2 linked regions of the Callithrix jacchus genome follow. The protein of the gene in region 2 interacts with the protein of the main gene of each other region in a biochemical or structural test. Links are inferred from orthologs where the notes say so. Each region holds a gene or a part of one and is shown on either strand. Other genes may lie near its edges. The genes, in order: XIRP1 and FLNC.

The links.
Region 1: the proteins of FLNC (region 2) and XIRP1 form a complex in vitro, tested with the Homo sapiens proteins (2 studies listed by BioGRID and IntAct, with this or other methods). The link is inferred for Callithrix jacchus from reciprocal best matches to the Homo sapiens genes FLNC and XIRP1.

The regions. Positions count from the first base shown.
Region 1 is NC_133518.1:77,038,280-77,047,775, forward strand, and holds the start of XIRP1 (xin actin-binding repeat-containing protein 1), read right to left. Parts: upstream 8,924-9,496; 5' UTR 8,778-8,923; intron 5,536-8,777; 5' UTR 5,532-5,535; coding exon 63-5,531; 3' UTR 1-62. UniProt on the Homo sapiens protein: Protects actin filaments from depolymerization. Required for correct cardiac intercalated disk ultrastructure via maintenance of cell-cell adhesion stability, and as a result maintains cardiac organ morphology, conductance and heart beat rhythm.
Region 2 is NC_133512.1:118,323,786-118,332,871, reverse strand, and holds the end of FLNC (filamin-C), read left to right. Parts: intron 1-1,541; coding exon 1,542-1,703; intron 1,704-1,777; coding exon 1,778-1,981; intron 1,982-2,716; coding exon 2,717-2,869; intron 2,870-2,963; coding exon 2,964-3,086; intron 3,087-3,222; coding exon 3,223-3,465; intron 3,466-3,624; coding exon 3,625-3,894; intron 3,895-3,988; coding exon 3,989-4,126; intron 4,127-4,398; coding exon 4,399-4,514; intron 4,515-5,712; coding exon 5,713-5,845; intron 5,846-5,943; coding exon 5,944-6,120; intron 6,121-6,316; coding exon 6,317-6,535; intron 6,536-7,197; coding exon 7,198-7,407; intron 7,408-7,526; coding exon 7,527-7,714; 3' UTR 7,715-8,452; downstream 8,453-9,086.

The sequences.
Region 1 (9,496 bases), on a different chromosome or scaffold from region 2:
CCACCTCAGTCCTGGGGCAGTGGAGGCCAGAACAGGTGGCAGGTGTGGTGGGAGGGGTGGCCTTATTGGGCAGCTGTCTGGGGGCTGCAGGACACCTGCACCAGCTCGGCTTCTGCCAGTTCACTGCTGAACCCAGCTGGGCTGTGTAGGAACTGCCTCAGCAGGGGGGAGGCATAGAGCCGGGGGTGGGGACCTGGGCTCTTGGGTGGCTCTGCCCGCTCGGTGACTGTGCTGGAAGACATGAGGACTGTGTTCCCGAACTGGTCCACCTCCTCGTACTGCTCAGTCACAGTTCTCATGGCTCCACAGTGCTGCAAGCTCCCTGGCCCCGTCTGCAGCTGCAGAACACTCTTTTGCCGCCCTGTGGGCAGGGGACTGGCTGAGGGAGGGGCAGGCTTAGGCGGTGCAGAGCACTGGGTGACGTCCTTCTTCCCAGCCTTGTCTTGGACACCTTTCTGCTGGAGCAGGGCCTGGCCCGTGTCCTGAACTAGTCGTGTGCTTTTCACCAAGACGTCAGGGTTGCCCTTGAAGCTGGGAGTCTCTGGAGGCTTCCTTGTGGCCGACTGGATGGAGATAAATGTTGGGGAGGAGGGTGAATCTCGGCTGGGAGGTAAGACTCGAGGGAGGCACAGGTCTTCTTGTGATGTCTCCTGCCTCCCGGTGGGAGGCGCCGTTGAGGCTGTGTGACCTCCGACCTCCGTGTGATTTCTGACCCTGACTTTGCTGTGGGCCTCTGTGTGGCATCCAGCCTTGGCTTGGATCTTGACTGCAGTTTGACCCCCGAGCTCCTGGCTGGAGCCACTGGGCCTGGCGCTACTGCTGACTGTGACACTGATCTTGTGGGCACTGTGGTCTTTTGGAGGTCCCTGGAAATGGCCTCTGGCACTGGCCTCAGGCTGGAGGCTGGACATGGAGCTGAGCGCCTTGTGCACCGCTTCTTCAATGTCCAGCAGCCTGGCCAGCGTCTGTTCCTTCAGCCGAGCAACTTCCGTGCTGACCCGTGTCAGCTCCCCAAAGGCCTGCTCAACGGAGGCCTCGGGCTTTTGGCGGGTAGTGGGGGCCTGAGGGGCAGCCCCTTCCAGCTGGGGCACCGCCTCAAAGAGCCTCCGCAGGGCCTGCACGTCCACACTGCTCTCGGCCTCCTTCTCCAAGGCTTGCACCTGGGTCAGGAGGCCCTGGAGCTCATTCTGGTTTCTTTGCAGACTCGCAGGACTCTCGGGGGCCCCTTCCACGGGCTGCTCTCCTGGGGAGCTGGGGCCCCCCTGTGGTGAGGTGGGATCACGGTTGACAGCATTGAGCTTGGGGGGCTCAGAACTCTGATTCTGGGCGGGCCTGGGGGCCGTGGTGCTGTGTCCACTGGGGCAGTCGGCCAGAGGTCTGTGGCCCTGGCCCACAGTGGTGGGAACCTTGGCTGGCTGAGGGACGGCGGCATCTGTCTCACCTCGTTGCTGCTCTCTTTGCCCCCTCTCCAAGGAAAAGCTGGGAAATAGAGGCAAGGGCTTGGGCAGCCTCCGAGGAGGGTGGCTCTGGGTTAGGTGTGCGGGTTTAGGGGGCAGCTGTGGCTTCTCCTTTGGGGACTTGGTGGGCTCCAGTTTTGAGGTCTTTGTCTGTAACCCTCCAGGGGCTCTCTGGCCAGCAGAGCTGCTGTGGGACTGAAGAAGGGGGTCCTTCAGGGGCTCGGAGACCTGCTGGATGGAGTCCTCATCACAGCCGGCTCTGGCTGGAAAGTCAGGTCCTGTCACAGCAGCTGGGAGAGTAGGAGGAGGAGGAACAAAGGCATTACGGGGTTGCAGGCTGGCACCTGGCACTTGGGGCCCAGAGGCCAGAATGTGGCGGCCTAGAGGGGCAGTCTTCAGGGTGGTCTCTGCAGCTTGGAGGCCCCCTGGGCAGACTTCTGCCATCAGCTTCCCTGGAGGCCCCCAGGCCATCTGTGTGTGGCTCCCAGGCACCTCCTGCCCTGGCCCAGTACTCTGAGCTGGGCATCCCTGGAGGGAGCCGACAGCCTGGACTGAGAGGGCGGTTTCCCTGTGCCTTGACTGGGGTTCCCTCTCAGAAGGCTGGACACCCCCAGGCGGGTCAAAGGTCCTCGCGGGATGAGCGGTGTAGATGCCGTCCTGAATTGTCACCCGCCCCCCAGGTGGCCCTCTGGGTACTGCCTGCTTTTCCCCACTGACCTTTCTGGGGGCTGCTGGGATCCGGGGATCACTTCCACTCCCAGGCCTGATGTTGCTTTGGATACCCCCAGCTTTCCGAAGACCGGCCTGGATGGGCTCGGCAGTGGCCGCGGGGGCGGGGCCCTGCTTGTGCTTGTTCAGAACTTGCTTGTGCAGGCTCTGGGCTTCAGCTGCTGCCACCCGAAGACTCTGCATGGCGGCCTGCAGGTCTGGGACCCCAGGCCCTGGAGGGGTAGTCGTGGCTCCTTCTGACTTTCCCAAGACTGCCATCCCTTTCTGTCCAGTGTGACTGTCTCCCTGCTTTTCTGTGTTTTGCAATTGGGCTGGTGCTGCAGCTTCCCCAGCCACAGGGACTGCCTTTCCAATGGCTTGAGGAGGGCAGGGGGTGGCCCCTGGGCCTCTCAGATGCCCCATCCCCATGCTGGGGTCCAGTGGGGGAACATGGATGACGCTCTCCGTTGGGGGCAGGCTCTGGGCCCCCTCGCTGGCTGGCTCTGGACTCGGGTCGGCCGGTGGCTCCCACCGCAGACTGTGCAGACCACTCAGGTCTCCTTTATCTATGCAGCTGGCCAACAGCTGCACGCTGCTCCTCTCGGAGGCCTTGCTAGTCAGCCGGGGCTGCAGAGAGTAGGCAGTCAGTGCGATCAGGCCCTGCTCTGTCTCCTGCATCACCAGCCCAGTCCTTGCCACAGAGGCCCCGAGACTGCAAGCCAGAAGCTGCTGGAACTCAGGGTCCATGTCTTCAGCACCCTCATTGCTGCCTGGAGTTGGCAGCCTCAGCGACTTGAGTCGGAGCTGGCCAGTTGGGTCTTCCTGCACCAGCAGCCCCTGCCGGTCCACATCTGGCCGGCGCAGGACTTGGCGGATGATCCTGGGAAGTTCACCCGACACCAGCTCCTCCTTTCGTATATGGGGGCATCCCTGCCCTGTGCCCAAGAGCACATACTTGGCAAGGCAGAGCTCCCCTGGCCCTCGGGCCTCCATGAGGATGCCTCCGTGGTGCAGGATGCCAGGGGTGGCGTGCAGAGTCCACAGGGTCCCCTCGGCTGCCGTCTCCTGGCTCTCTCGAATCCCGTTCTCTGGGGGACTCATGGACTGCTCTTCCTGGAGGCTGCCCCCTCGGATGCTCTCAGCTGCTAGGGAGCCCATGGGGCAATTCTCAAAAAGCCAGGTGAACTTGTGCACAGAACCTGCAGGGATCGGCCCGACAATTACCCGGGGCTGCTCTTCTTCCTTCTTGCCTGCCTCCAGGGCCTGGAAAACCTCCTTCTGTCGAGACACCTGCCCTGAAGGGATCTCCACGCGGCTGCAGTATCTCACAGGCCCTCTTCCGCAGGGACCGCCTGGGGCCTGAAGAGGCTCGGTCTCAAAGACATGTCTGTCTGTCTGTCTCTCCCCAGCCGGGACCTGGCTGACCTGCAGGTGCTGCTCCCTGGACCCCGCTGGCCTGTCTGAGGCTTGGGGCTTGAACATCCAGGTGCAGGACTGGGCCTCAGCCTTAGCTGTGCGATCTGTGACCTCTGACCCCTGCTTTTCGGCCAGCTCACTCATTGGGCACGTCTCGAACAACCACCGGATGGTCTGAACATCGCCCTTCGGGGGCGCCTCAGACTGGGGGTCTCCCTGACTCTTCCCTTCTTCTTCCTTTCGTTTCTGCAGCTCCCTCTGGTGGATCATCTCCAGGGGCTGGGTCTCAAAGAGCCACCGAGCAGTGCCAACATCCCCAGCCACTACCTCCTGCCGGGTGACACCCCGAACCACATCGATGGTACTGGGGCTTCGGCCGAGCTGGTCCAGGGGCTGTGTCTCAAACATCCACCTGTAGCCCTGCACGTCACCTCCGACTATCTGCTCTCTGCTAACAGAAGTCAGGGCGTGGAGGCGGCCCTTGCTGTCCTGCATGGCATACACTGGGGCCCCTATGCTCTGGGCCTGTCCAGCAGAATCAGTTCCTTCTTCTCTGCTCAGACGCCCATGGGCTGGAACCTCACCCTGTCCAATGCTGTCCAGGGGAAGGGTCTCAAAAAGGTTCTTAAACGTCTTCACATCTCCCTTTAGCCCATCCCTCTGGGGGGCACCCTGAGAGCCGGGCAGTGCTGAGGGGCTGTCACTGGATAGGTGCCCCTCACCGTCCTGGGGACCCACCCGCTGTAGGTGACCCACTTGGACTCTGTCTCTGAAAGCATCCAGGGGCTTTGTCTCAAATAACCACAGGGTGGAGCGGACATCACCAGGGACCACTTCCTCCTTAGGTGGGGCCTCTGCTCCAGCCTCCTCGTCCCCCTTCAGAGTGTCCAGTGCTCGGGTCTCAAACAGATGCCGCTGCTGCTGAACATCCGGACCAGGTGGGATGAGGTCTGGGGATGGTTGGAAGTCCTTCTCGTCTACCAAGATCTCCCGGATGGCATCCAGGGGCTGCGTCTCAAAGATCCAGCGAGTCGCACTGATGTCGGGCCGGTCCCCCTCCTCCAGGGAAATCCCCCGGATCACCCGCACCTGGCTGGGGTCCTGGTTGAAGGCGTCCAGAGGCCGAGTCTCAAAGAGCCAGCGGGCAGACCTCACCGCGTTGCTTTGGATCTCCTCCCGGCATGCGGCCTTGACCTCGTGGATGGCACCCTCTGTGTCCTGGATGGCACACAGGGGCTCCGTTTGGAACAGCTTCACTGTCTTTTTCACATCACCCTTCAGCTCTTGAATCTCTGAGCGCAGTTCCAATGGGCTCTGCTCCTGCAGGGAGGTGCGGGAGCCCAGGCAGTCCAGCGGCCGTGTCTCAAACAGCATCCTGGTACCCTGCACGTCTCCGCTGGCTGCGGGCTCCCTCACAGTAGCCTCCAGTTCCTTGGCCCGCTCTGTCAGCTCATCCAGGGGCTTTGTCTCAAATAGCCAGCGGGCTGCACGGACGTCCCCTCCACCCAGCTGGGGCCTGGCTGGCTCTTGGTCTGTGCTGTTGGCAAAGGAGCCTTCTTCAAACTTGCGGGAGGTGGCCTGGACGTCACCACCTGGCACGGGCTCCTTGGCAGCTGGCCTCTCGTGATCTCCGATGGCATCCAGTCGCCAGTTCTCAAAGATCCAGCGCATGCACTGAACGTCACCCTCGGTGGGTTCCTCAGAGCCCAGGACCTCAGCCAGATCCTCCGCCACAGCCTCGGCCAGATTCTTGCGGAGCTCGGGGTGGATGTGCCTGTAGAGGCGGCGGAGTTCACTAGCTTGCCGCTGCTGGTGGAACTTGGAGAAGGACTCCTTGGGTGGCGGCAGTGGCAGGTCCTCTAGGGCTGGGGGTGGAGGGAGAGGCAGGTCCCCTGCAGCTGCCATCCTCATGGTTGGTGTGGGGGCCACCTGCGTCTGGGTGTCGGCCATCCTTCTGAGAAGAAGGGGAAGAGGTGAGAGTGGGATTGGGGGCCTTAGGTCTAGATGATCAGCAGGGTAGAGGCTGGATACTGGGAGCAATGGCAGGAAACAGGGCTCAGGGTCAGAGTAGCTCTGGTTGACTTATGCTTAGAGACTCCTTCGTTCTCTCTATGCGCCTGGCCTGGGCTTCATTCTGCTGCCGGCATGTTTGGTGTGCAATGGGTCTTGAACTTAGGACATGTGGACCCACCCATTGCAATGGGTTCCTGCTTCCCTGCATCTCCCAGGTTGCTAGGGAGTGACCATGGTACCACCCGCCATGAGACACTTTCCTTTAGCTCCACAAGGGATGCCCAAACCCAGAGGGCAAACTGGACATGCCCCATCCTCGCCTGCCTTTGTTAAAAATCGGCGTTTCCCTAGACTTCCAGGGGAGTGGCCTGGGGGAATCCTGATTTTTGGAGTCCCAGCACTGGCGGGGCGGATCTCTAAACTGGAGACGAGATTCCCTTGCAGAACACCAGAGGGCAGACTTGCCATGTTGACCTGGAGCCTTGCCTAACTTTTACCTCTTGGCTGTCAACTCACTCCAACCTTTCCCAGGCCCAGGGAGGCAGGCAGAGGCCAGCAGCCCATGCTGGAGCGGAAGCAGCTGAGGATCAGGGCTGGGAAGCTCTCACCAGATATCTCGTGGTTAGGCCAGCCCCAAATTCTGAATCTCCGGTCAGGGTTTTCTGCACTATAATCAAGACTGAGAATGCCTGAGCTAGGGGGACCTGAAAGGTCTTTTAGCACAACCATTTATAAATTAAGATGCGGGAGCTTAGGCCCAGAGTCACATCTTTGTGAATAAGTGGAAGGCAGTGCTGGCTTGGGGTCCCTGAACTCCACCTGGGGCCTGGCCCCAAGAAATAAGAGGGCCGGGGGTATAAAGCTTTCCTTTTGGCCATAGGACGCTCTATTCCCCAGCAGGCACCCTGGGAAGATATGACAGTGACACCTGCCAGGGAGAGGACCAAGGGACCAGGGTGCTTTCTGCCCCTTGCTCCTGGAGACCTTGGAGACCTCTTTTTTTTTCTCTCTTTTTGAGACAGAGTTTCGCTGTTGTTACCCAGACTGGAGTGCAATGGCGCAATCTCGGCTCCCTGCAACCTCCACCTCCTGGGTTCAAGCAATTCTCTTGCCTCAGCCTCCCAAGTAGCTGGGGCTGTAGGTGTGCACCACCATGCCTGGCCAATTTTTGTATTTTTAGTACAAATGAGGTTTCACCATATTGGACAGGCTGGTCTTGAACTCCTAACCTCGTGATCCACTGGCCTTAGCCTCCCAAAGTGCTGGGATTACAAGCATGAGCCACCGTGCCCAGCCCTGGAGACCTCTTCCTAAGCAAGCAAGCACAGCTTCAGGGGCTCGGACTCGGGGGGCTTCAGGCTAAGCCCTACCCCTGCAGGCCTCACGGCCACCCCAGCTTAGCTTCTCCCCTGCTGTGCCCCACCGGTCAATGGCCTCCCACCCCTTAAGCCCTTCTCTGCTCTCTGTCGATGTTTGTCTTATCTGTCTTGTGACAGGTGTACTGACAGTCATCAGAGGTCAGCAGGGAAAGAATGGGAAGCATGTGCCCCCTCCCGCTGCCCCTGACCCACTGCTCTGCAGCACATAAAGTGCTAAATATAGCTGAGGTCTTGGCCTCAGAACAGCAGCCCTGGGCTCAGGGTGGCTGAGGCCCAGTCAGTGGGGACCCTCAGGGTCATTGGCTCACCTCATCTCCTTCATTACCCTGGGCTCCCTGATCCTGCCTCCTGAGCTGGTGTCAGGCCCCTGCACTGCAGGCCAACCAGGTTCTGGAACCTGGACACCTTCCCTGTGCAAAGGAGTCTGCACCGGGAAGAGGTGTGGGGATGCTGGCAGCAGGTGGGGCGGGACTTCCTATGGCTACCTCTGAAGGAGAGAGGGAACTGGGTCCTGCTTACCCCACGCCCACCCTGGCAAGTCCAGTAGAGACATCAGAACCTTTGGGGAGTGAGAGCTCTCAAACCTGCAGCCTGAGTCTCATCAAAGCTCTGGGTGGTTTCTTTCATTTCTGAGCTCCGGAGAGGCTCCCCTGCCCAAGGCAAACCTGTGCCTCTTGCCACCTCCATGCCATCCTGTCTCCACCAGGGTGGCCTGGGCAGATGGCAGGTGCAGACCGTCAGCTTCGCCCCACCCCGCCCCCAGGAATGTCCAGAATCTCTGCTGGGGCCACAGACAGCTATTATCATGGAGTCCAGGGATGTCAGGCCTAAGGACCCTCAGAGGTCACTCAGTGTAAACCCCTTATTGTTCAAACGGAGAAACAGAGGCCCACAGAGGGGAAAGGAGCTGTCCAGGGAGGCTCAGCAAGGCGGCAGCAAGCCTAAAGCAAGCCTCCCAACCCCTGGCCTTCCCACCACCACCCTTGCCTGGCCTGAGACTGCTGGGCCAAGTGTAGAGTCGGGACAGAATTCATAACTGGGACCGGACTTAGGGTGGGGTCAGCCCCAAGGACTGTCCTAGAGCTTGGCGAGCCTCTCAGGATGGTCCCCCTGCTGTCCTCAGGTCACCTCCTCCACGGCCCAGCTGGCTCCATATGTCTTTACATCTGGGCAAATTCAGGTCTGGTCTCCCTGCCCTGAGTCCTCCAGATCTGCCCTGGGGGCTTTCCAACTGGGCAAGACCATGGACATGGGCAGAGTCCAAATTCCACCCCAGGTTTTAGGCTGTGATGTGCAGGGAGCTGGGCTCAGGCCAGCCCCTGGGAGCTATCGCTGGGCTAGATATGCTAAGAGTGTCCCCCACAACAACTGGGCCTGGGGCTTGTTCTGGCAATGCACACCCAGGCCTAGCTGCAGCCCCCAGCCCCACCTCACTTCTGTTCCTCCTTCCTCCAGACCCTGGGCCTACCTGAGGCTTCCCTGGGAGGAAGCCCTGAAGCCTGAGGTACTCCACACCTTGTATTTTAAAAATCACAACTCCAGGCCTTTCTGGGTGGAGTCAGGAGCCTGTCCTTTCTGCTTGCTTCAGGCCTGTGGGAGCCACTCTGAGAGCTCCCATGGGGCTCACTCTGTCTTTACCTCCTTTGTGGGTTCTTTATATCTGAGACTTCACTCACCTCCTCCCATGCATGCCCTCAGTCTCCTCCCAGACTCAGAGCCTCCCCAATACGTCCATTCCAGGATAGGGGACCCCAGCTGTGAAAGCCAGCCTTGCCGTGGAAGGACAGAGAGGTAGGTGACTCACCGAGGGTCTCTCTTAGCTGACAGGGTGCTTGGGGTCTGTAACAGGTGTGGTCTCAGGGTTGGTCCTTCCTCTCGAGGTTCTGTTCGGTGTGGTTCAGTCCTGCTGGCTCTGCAGACACCTTCTCGCCTCGCTGGCTCCAGGTCTCTGTCCCCTGCCAGCCGTAGCAGCTGCCTTTATCTTGCTGGCTAGGGGGTGGGCCCTGGTGGGGGCAGGCGGGAGAGGCTATGTTCAGAGCATTAAGTGGTTTGGTTATTTTTAGGGCTTGTGGAAGTCACTCTTCCATCCGGGGGAATCAGTTACATGTCCTTTGGGCTGGGGAGGGGAAGCAGAGGGGAAGAAACTTCATTCATCCAAAGTCTGATCTGGGGCTTGGGGTCAGTGACTCAGTTGGGTTGTGGGGTTGGGGGTGTCCCAGACTATTTTGAGAGAGTGAATAAGGAGGGGCATCTGATACCCGTCTTGTCAGTCCCCATCACTCCACTCTGGTCCAGCCTCTGACTCTTCCTGATGTGTCTCCACCCACCGTTCGAGGAAACTAGAGGTCCCCTGAGGGCAGGCTGGGCCCCTCCTCCTCTGCTGTGAGCCTGGCAGCCTCTGAGAGTGAGGGCCAGCTCGACTTCTTCCCCATTCCCTTCTGCACTGAAGAGTTCCCCCTTGTCTTACCCACTCCTCCCCGAGCCCCACAGCACAGGTCAACGGTCCTGATGAAGCTGGATTTG
Region 2 (9,086 bases):
TAGGATACACACACCCCGCATACAGTGCACACACCCCGAATACAGGACACACACACCCCGCATACAGGACACACACACCCCGCATACAGGACAGACACACCCCGCATACAGTGCACACACCCCGAATACAGGACACACACACCCTGCATACAGGACACACACACCCTGCATACAGTGCACACACCCCACATACAGTGCACACACCCCGCATATAGGATACACACACCCCGCATACAGGACACACACACCCTGCATATAGGACAGACACACCCTGCATACAGGGCACACACCCTGTATACAGGACACACACACTTTGCATACAGGACACACACACCCCGCATACAGTGCACACACTCCACATACAGGACACACACACCCCGAATACAGGACACACACCCCGCATACAGGACACACACACCCCGTATACAGTGCACACACACCCCGCATACAGGGCACACACACCGCATACAGGACACACACGCACTGCATACAGGACACACACACCCCGCGTATAGGACACACACCCTGCATACAGGACACACACACCCCGCATACAGTGCACACACACCACATACAGGGCACACACACCCCACATACAGTGCACACACCCGCATACAGGACACACACACCCTGAATACAGGACACACACACCCTGCATACAGTGCATGGATGGGATGTGCAAGCCCAGCCCCTTCAAGTCATAAAGGCAGAGACCCTTCGAGGTGTGAGGGGTCATATTTTGATAAATGTAGAAACACCATATTCTCCACGGAAGCTAAGACGCAGTCAGCCACTCATTGTGCCTGAAAACACATTGCCTCGTTTAGTTTTTGAAGTCACTCTTGAGAAGTTAGGACATGGATAATCCTTTTAGTCTTGCTCTTTCACCCAGGCTGGAGTGCAGTGGCTTGATCTCGGCTCACTGCAACCTCTGCCTCCCAGGTTCAAGGGATTCTCTGCCTCAGTCTCCTGAGTATGTGGGATTACAGACACTCACCACTACGCCCAGCTAATTTTTGTATTTTTAGTAGTGACGGGGTTTCATCATGTTGGTCAGGCTGGTCTCAAACTCCTGACCTCGTGATCCGCCCACCTCGGCTTCCCAGAATGCTGGGATTACAAGTGTGAGCCACCACGCCAGGCTGGATAATCCTTTTGATAGATGAGGAACCCCATTCCAGAGAGGCCAAGCAATATGATTACAGCCACACAGCGAGGAAGGGGTCTGTGTGGTCCCGTCTAGTGTTTTGTTAACACGAACACCATGTGACTCAGGGTTAAAATGCAGGAGGCTTCCTTTAGGGATTTAGCCCACCAAGGACTGAGGCAGCCACAGTGGAACTGGGGTACAGGCCCCTCTTAGCCTCTGGCAGCTCACACGTGAGTGGGGACTACGCTTTCCAGGCCTTGGCCTCCATGTGCCTGGGAGTGGTCCCCATGTCTGTTGAATTCAGCAGCGCCTGCCCAGGAAGGTTCCTGAGCCCTGTGAGGGCAGGGCCTGCCTGGAGTCACATCAGCCTGATGCCCCAATCCCCCACCAGGCGATGACTCCATGAGGACCTCACAGCTGAACGTGGGCACCTCCACGGACGTGTCGCTGAAGATCACCGAGAGTGATCTGAGCCAGCTGACGGCCAGCATCCGCGCTCCCTCAGGCAACGAGGAGCCCTGCCTGCTGAAGCGCCTGCCCAACCGGCACATTGGTGAGTGAGGGGCCTTGTGGGATGTCAGGGGTGGAGGCCCACAGGTTGCTCTGCCTGACACCCGCTTTCCACAGGGATCTCCTTCACCCCCAAGGAGGTCGGGGAGCACGTGGTGAGCGTGCGCAAGAGTGGCAAGCACGTCACCAACAGCCCCTTCAAGATCCTGGTGGGGCCGTCTGAGATCGGGGATGCCAGCAAGGTGCGGGTCTGGGGCAAGGGACTTTCCGAGGGCCACACGTTCCAGGTGGCAGAGTTCATCGTGGACACTCGAAATGCAGGTACCTCCTGCCCCCGAGACCTCCATTCCAGTGGGTGCCTCTCGAAGGCACTTGTCCTTCTATCCTGCCCAGTACCCCCCTTGGCCACACTCTCCTCCCCAAAACTTCGTGGCCAATCTGTGCCAAGATTTGAATTCTGGGCCCCATTGGGGGAAAGTGAATGGCTCCAGATTAGTTCTCTCACTTTTTTTTTGAGATAGACTCTTGCTCTGTCACTCAGGCTGGAGCGCAGTGGTGCCATCTCAGCTCACTGCAGCCTCTGCCTCCTGGGTTCAAGCAGTTCTTCAGCCTCAGCCTCCCAAGTAGCTGGGACTACAGGCACATGCCACCATGCCTGGCTAATTTTTGTATTTTTAGTAGAGACAGGGTTTCACCATATTGGCCAGACTGGTCTTGAACTCCTGACCTCATGATCCACCCACCTTGGCCTCCCTAAGTGCTGGGATCACAGGCGTGAGCCATGGCGCCTGACCAAGTTTTCTCACATTTAAGAGAAACCTCAGTTGTCCTGAGTTTCTGTCTCTCCCTTGCTCACTGAAACTCAAGAGGCTTACCTTAGGGAATTTTCCAGACTGCCTGTCCCATGGTGCCCCCATCTCCTCCCACTGAGCCATTTTTGTTACTGGTCACTACACACATCAGGTGACCATTCTGGGTGCAGCCTCCATTCTGGGGAGAGCACTGTGGCTGGGCCAGCCTAGGACTGAGGGAGACATGTTCCTGGCTTTCCCCCAGGTTATGGCGGCTTGGGGCTGAGTATTGAAGGCCCCAGCAAAGTGGACATTAACTGTGAGGACATGGAGGATGGGACATGCAAAGTCACCTACTGCCCTACCGAGCCCGGCACCTATATCATCAACATCAAGTTTGCTGACAAGCACGTGCCTGGTAAGGCTCTGGGCAGAGGTCGGATATCAAGACACAGGGAAGCCAACAGGCCGGGGTCTGAGGTTCCTGACCCACCCTCTGTTCCCCACTGCAGGAAGCCCCTTCACTGTGAAGGTGACCGGCGAGGGCCGCATGAAGGAGAGCATCACCCGGCGTAGACAGGCGCCTTCCATTGCCACCATTGGCAGCACCTGTGACCTCAACCTCAAGATCCCAGGTAGAAGCCTGGAGGAGCCTGGGTGGGCGGGTGGTGGGAGTAGGGCTGGCCCGGGCCAGAGCCCACCTGTTGGGTCTCCACCCTGCTTCCTCACCCCTCACTTCTCTCCCTCACCCTGGCTCCTTTGCCCACACAGGGAACTGGTTCCAGATGGTGTCTGCCCAGGAGCGCCTGACACGCACCTTCACGCGCAGCAGCCACACCTACACCCGCACAGAGCGAACAGAGATCAGCAAGACGCGGGGCGGGGAGACGAAGCGGGAGGTGCGGGTGGAGGAGTCCACCCAGGTCGGCGGGGACCCCTTCCCCGCTGTGTTTGGGGACTTCCTGGGCCGGGAGCGTCTAGGGTCCTTCGGCAGCATCACCCGGCAGCAGGAAGGTGAGCACTGAGGGTGCTGCTGACCAGGCCTGACGCTGGCAGACTGGGCCCGAAGACCAGGGCTGGTCTGAGCAGAGGAGGAGGTTTAACTGACAGGGTAGGGAAGGGCCAGGGCTCGAAAGAATCCCAGTGTCACCCTGACATCCCCAAACCCTGCAGGTGAGGCCAGCTCTCAGGACATGACTGCACAGGTGACCAGCCCATCAGGCAAGATGGAAGCCGCGGAGATTGTCGAGGGCGAGGACAGCGCCTACAGCGTGCGCTTTGTGCCCCAGGAGATGGGGCCCCATACGGTCGCTGTCAAGTACCGTGGCCAGCACGTGCCCGGCAGCCCCTTTCAATTCACTGTGGGGCCGCTGGGTGAAGGTGGTGCTCACAAGGTGAGGGCCGGAGGCACAGGGCTGGAGCGAGGTGTGGCCGGAGTGCCAGGTAAGGGGCAGGTAGCCAGGAGTGGGGACGATGTCAGAGCAGCCAGTGTGAGGGGCGATGGTGCTGAAAAGTTCCCCACCTTTCCTGTCCTTAGCCGAGTTCAGCATCTGGACGAGGGAGGCCGGCGCTGGGGGCCTGTCCATTGCCGTGGAGGGTCCTAGCAAGGCAGAGATTGCATTTGAGGATCGAAAAGATGGCTCCTGCGGCGTCTCCTATGTCGTCCAGGAACCAGGTAGGCATCCACGCTGGCGGTGGGGGCTGGGCCTACCTGACCTTCCAGACTGGGATTCTGCTCACTGGCCAGGAAGATGCCTGGGGCCACAGAACTCCCCTACCCAGGATCCCTGCGCTTCCTCTGCCCCGTCTCCTCCACCCCACACCCTCAGAAACTTGTGTCTGTCTTCAGGGCTGAGTGCTGACCACGGAACCTGTACTGGGATAAGGCTGGGGTGGGGAGGCTCCTGCCCCATCCTGGGGCCTGTGCTGACTGGATTCTTTCCCCAGGTGACTATGAGGTCTCCATCAAGTTCAATGATGAGCACATCCCAGACAGCCCCTTTGTGGTGCCTGTGGCCTCCCTCTCAGATGATGCTCGCCGTCTCACTGTCACCAGCCTCCAGGTTTGTTCCCAGGATGGGGGTGGAGAGTTTCTGCTACCTGAGAGATGGGCGGGAGTTGAGGACAGCAGGTCCATGGGGCCAGGGTTTTAGCAGTGACTTTGGAAGGGCCAGTTAGAAGTCCCTTCTCGGAAGGCACAAGGCAGGACCCTTGGGGATGGTGGGCTCCGTCCCTGTGGGCTCACCCCTGCACTCGGGCACACAAAGCCTCATTCTGCCTTTCTCAAGGTGTGTCTGCCTGTCCTACTGCCACCTGCCATTTCTTTTTACAGTGTTCCACCTTTTTCTGTTTTAAGAATGCTAGATGCTAACATTTATGAGAATGAGAGTATAAAATCTATATAAACTAAGAGTAAACCAGTTTGCAGAGGGTGTGAGGGGCTCCTCTAAATCCATTGCCTATGGCCTGCAGAGCCTGGGCTGTGTCCTCTCCTGGTCCCTGGGGGCCTGGCTTACTTTCTCTTGCTGCTGACTTCTAGAGAGGTAGTGTCTTCCTTTCATTCTGTCCTAGGGCACATGTGCAAGGGAGGCTCTCAGCAAGTCACACTGACACATGCAAACCAGGGGCCAGGTGTCCAGGGGACACACTGTAAAGGAGATTCTGCATAGGGGGCACAGAACAGGCCTCACCCCAGCTCCTTCTCCTGCACCCCTCCCAGCTGCCCCTTAGGTGGTCACATTAGCCCGTCCAGAGCCCTTGTGCATCTCCTCCCACTCCTGAACCTGGCTCCCCCATGCAGGCTCCAGTTCCCTCCCCCAGAGCCCTTCTAGGATGCTTCTGGTCCTCCCTGTTGGTCCACTTCCTCCAGGAAGCTCTCCCAGGCCAGTCCAGCCAAACTCAGCTTCCTACATCAGAGCTCTCCAGCACCCCAAGCCCACACAGACAATCAGGCACTGGCCCTCCGCCCTCAGGCTGCTTCACACAGAGTGGGGCCCTTCCTTCCTCAGCCAGGACAGGGCACATCATCTCTCATTTCCCACACGCCAAGCACAGTTAGGATAGCAGGTGCATGCATAGGGTTGTATGCCAGACCCTAGTTCCTCCTGCTCCCAGGCTGGACTGGCAGGAAGGGGCCAGGTTGGATGTGGGGTGGTGGTAGCCTCTGGTCTGAGCTTATAGTGAGCATGGTGTGGGGCTGCAGAAAAGGCTGCTCCAGCCCCAGCCTCCCAGGAGTCTGAGCATCCTCCATGGCCTTTGTAGGAGACGGGGCTCAAGGTGAACCAGCCAGCATCCTTTGCAGTGCAGCTGAACGGTGCCCGAGGCGTGATTGATGCCCGAGTGCACACACCCTCGGGGGCTGTGGAGGAGTGCTATGTCTCTGAGCTGGACAGTGGTGAGCTGCCCCTGCCCCTGCCCACACCCTGAAGGCTGGGGCCTTCTGGGAAGGGGAAGGGAAGGATGGAAGCTAAGCCACTACCCCTCTATCTACAGACAAGCACACCATCCGCTTCATCCCCCACGAGAATGGTGTCCACTCCATAGATGTCAAGTTCAACGGTGCCCACATCCCTGGAAGTCCCTTCAAGATCCGCGTTGGGGAGCAGAGCCAGGCTGGGGACCCAGGCTTGGTGTCAGCCTATGGTCCTGGGCTTGAGGGAGGCACTACTGGTGAGTGCCAGGAGCTGGGGAACAGGGTGACTTCTGGGGGTGCTTGGCCACTAGTCTGGTGCTGCTTTCCTCCAGAGGCAGGGGCCCTGCTCTCTGAGCCAGAAGTCCCCACAGAGGCTGCCCAGGGAGCTGGGGCCCAGACCCTCTTGGGCCACAAGCCCTTCCTGCCCTCAGCCTTGCTACCTCTGGCCCCCAGGTGTGTCATCAGAGTTCATCGTGAACACCCTGAATGCTGGCTCGGGGGCCTTGTCTGTCACCATTGATGGCCCCTCCAAGGTGCAGCTGGACTGTCGGGAGTGTCCTGAGGGTCATGTGGTCACTTACACTCCCATGGCCCCTGGCAACTACCTCATTGCCATCAAGTACGGTGGCCCCCAGCACATTGTGGGCAGCCCCTTCAAGGCCAAGGTCACAGGTGAGTGCTGGCTCAGGGGAGGCCCACACAGCCTTAGCCCAGCCCAGCCTGGAGGGCTCCGGTGGCCACGCACATCCAGGCCATAGTCTGCCCTAGACATCATGGTCAGTTACCAGGAATAGAGGTGGGCCTGGCTCTACACAGCACACACTCCATGGAGCCTCGCATGACCCTGTACATATCCCTTTCTTCCTCCCATCTCGGCCCTCCCTCCTTCATCTCTGGCCTTCGCTGGCTCCTGAGGCTCTAGAGTCACTTTCTTCCCTCCTGGCTTTCCAAATTCCTCAGCTCCAAGAAGACACAGTCAGTACTGAGCAAACTCCCCTTCCCGGGGCTGTCTATAGGACGGGTTGGGTGGGTGTTCCTTTGCAAGGTGACTCTTACCCTGTGACTTGGCCTGAGTTCCCGACAAAGCCTGCAGGGATGAGGGACGCAGCCCTCCGAGGCCCCAGCCCTAGGGTGAAGCATGAATTGGAACAGGCAGCTCCAGCCCTGGCAGGGAATGGGGCTGGGCTCCTAGAGTGGCCCTTGGAGGAATCTGGGGGAGCCCCAGATGCAGGCAGTGAGTCCCACTGGGTGGCAGCGCTGGCTGAGGGTCCCCCACCTGGGGAGCACCAGGAAGCCCTTCTGACCAGGTTTGTGCCCCTCCACCCGCCCCGCAGGTCCGAGGCTGTCCGGAGGCCACAGCCTTCACGAAACATCCACGGTTCTGGTGGAGACTGTGACCAAGTCTTCCTCAAGCCGGGGCTCCAGCTACAGCTCCATCCCCAAGTTCTCCTCAGATGCCAGCAAGGTGGTGACTCGGGGGCCTGGGCTGTCCCAGGCTTTCGTGGGCCAGAAGAACTCCTTCACCGTGGACTGCAGCAAAGCAGGCAGGTGGAGGTGGGGAGGGCGTCTTCTGGGGAGGGAGCAAGAAGCCATCTGGGAGCAGGGCGTGGGTCCCCCTTGGGGGCTCCCTGGTGTGAGCCTGGCCCTCTGCCTCCCTCTCCAGGCACCAACATGATGATGGTGGGCGTGCACGGGCCCAAGACCCCCTGTGAGGAGGTGTACGTGAAGCACATGGGGAACCGGGTGTACAACGTCACCTACACCGTCAAAGAGAAAGGGGACTACATCCTTATTGTCAAGTGGGGCGACGAAAGTGTCCCTGGAAGCCCCTTCAAAGTCAAGGTCCCTTGAATCCCAGAAGTGCCTCCCCAGCCTCGGCCCCCACCTCCAGCCAAACACACATCACACACACACACACACACACACACACACACACACAAATGTGCCACACCCAGACACACGCATAGAATCAGACACTACAAACACCTGCCTTGGGGATGAAGGCACAGCCTCCCCTACCACCGTGCCCTGGGGGTTGGGGGGCCTTGTCTGTTTCAGGACAGTGTCCCTCCCCGGGGATGTGACTTGAGGGCCAACTGGGGCCAGGCTCAGGGACAAAAGCTGGGGCACAAGTGGGCTGAAGCCCTGAGTTTTCTGGCAGGGCTGAGCAGTGGGGGAGCATTGTGTTGGGGGTATCTGTGTGTGAGAGGTCACCCTCAAACTGCACTGCTGGCCAATCACCCTCCTGCCTCTGAGGACTTGGTCTGGTCCTTCTGGTGGCTACAACCCCAGAGTTTTAAGGACTTGGAAAGGAAAATACAACCAGAGAGGAAAAACCCTGAAGCACCACAGTGGGTTGGCACAGGGACTGGCTGAGCGGTGTGCACTCCGCCCAGGCCAGGCTTCCTGGGGGCCTGATTTCTCTCTCGCTGTCTCTTTTTTTTAAATGGTTGCACGTCTCTGCCCCATTGGGGGCCTTTTTTACACACTGCGAGGCCCAGCTTTGTAGGGGAACTTTTGCACATGTCATGTGGCTCAGCTGGGAGCCGCTTAGGTGGAAAACTCTAAATAAAGTGCGGCTGTCGCAGACACTTGGCTGTTCTTTGTGGGCTGCCCTCTGTCCTGCCACACGAAAAACCCAGCCCTGGGGAGGCAGAGGTGACCTGGCTGTCCCCTGGAAGACTGACCCTGATCAAGGGGAAGATCCTTGGGGCAAAAGCGAGGTCTGGGATGTTGGCAGATCGCTTGAAAGAAGCAGAATCAGGGGCTTGTGGGAAGGGGTCCCAGCAGGAGGATTTGTGGATAGTACAGAGTGTGGACAGTGTTCTACAGTACTGCCCCAGGACCCCTGGGAGGCCAGTTTCAGTTCAGCCTGACCTCGAGGATGTTTTTCAAATTAAGACCTTAAAACTGAGCTCTGACTCAAATAGGAATATTCCTCGACCAGTATGCAGGCAGAACCACGTGCAGACCCCAGCACCTTTTCTCCAGCGGGTTCCCGAATCAACTTGGGCTATCCCGTGCCCCGCTCCAGCACTGAGCTTGCACAGGGCCTCCCTCCTGAACTCCTGCACTAGCCCTGCCCTGGCCAGCTCCCTCCAATCTCCCCTCCCTGCTGCAGCTTGAGGAGGGTGGTCACTTTAAAGAGAGTATGCCCCTCTGGTTTAGGCCCTCTGTGGCTCCCTCCTGCTCCAGAGTAAAGTCTCTTCTTGACAAGGTCTCC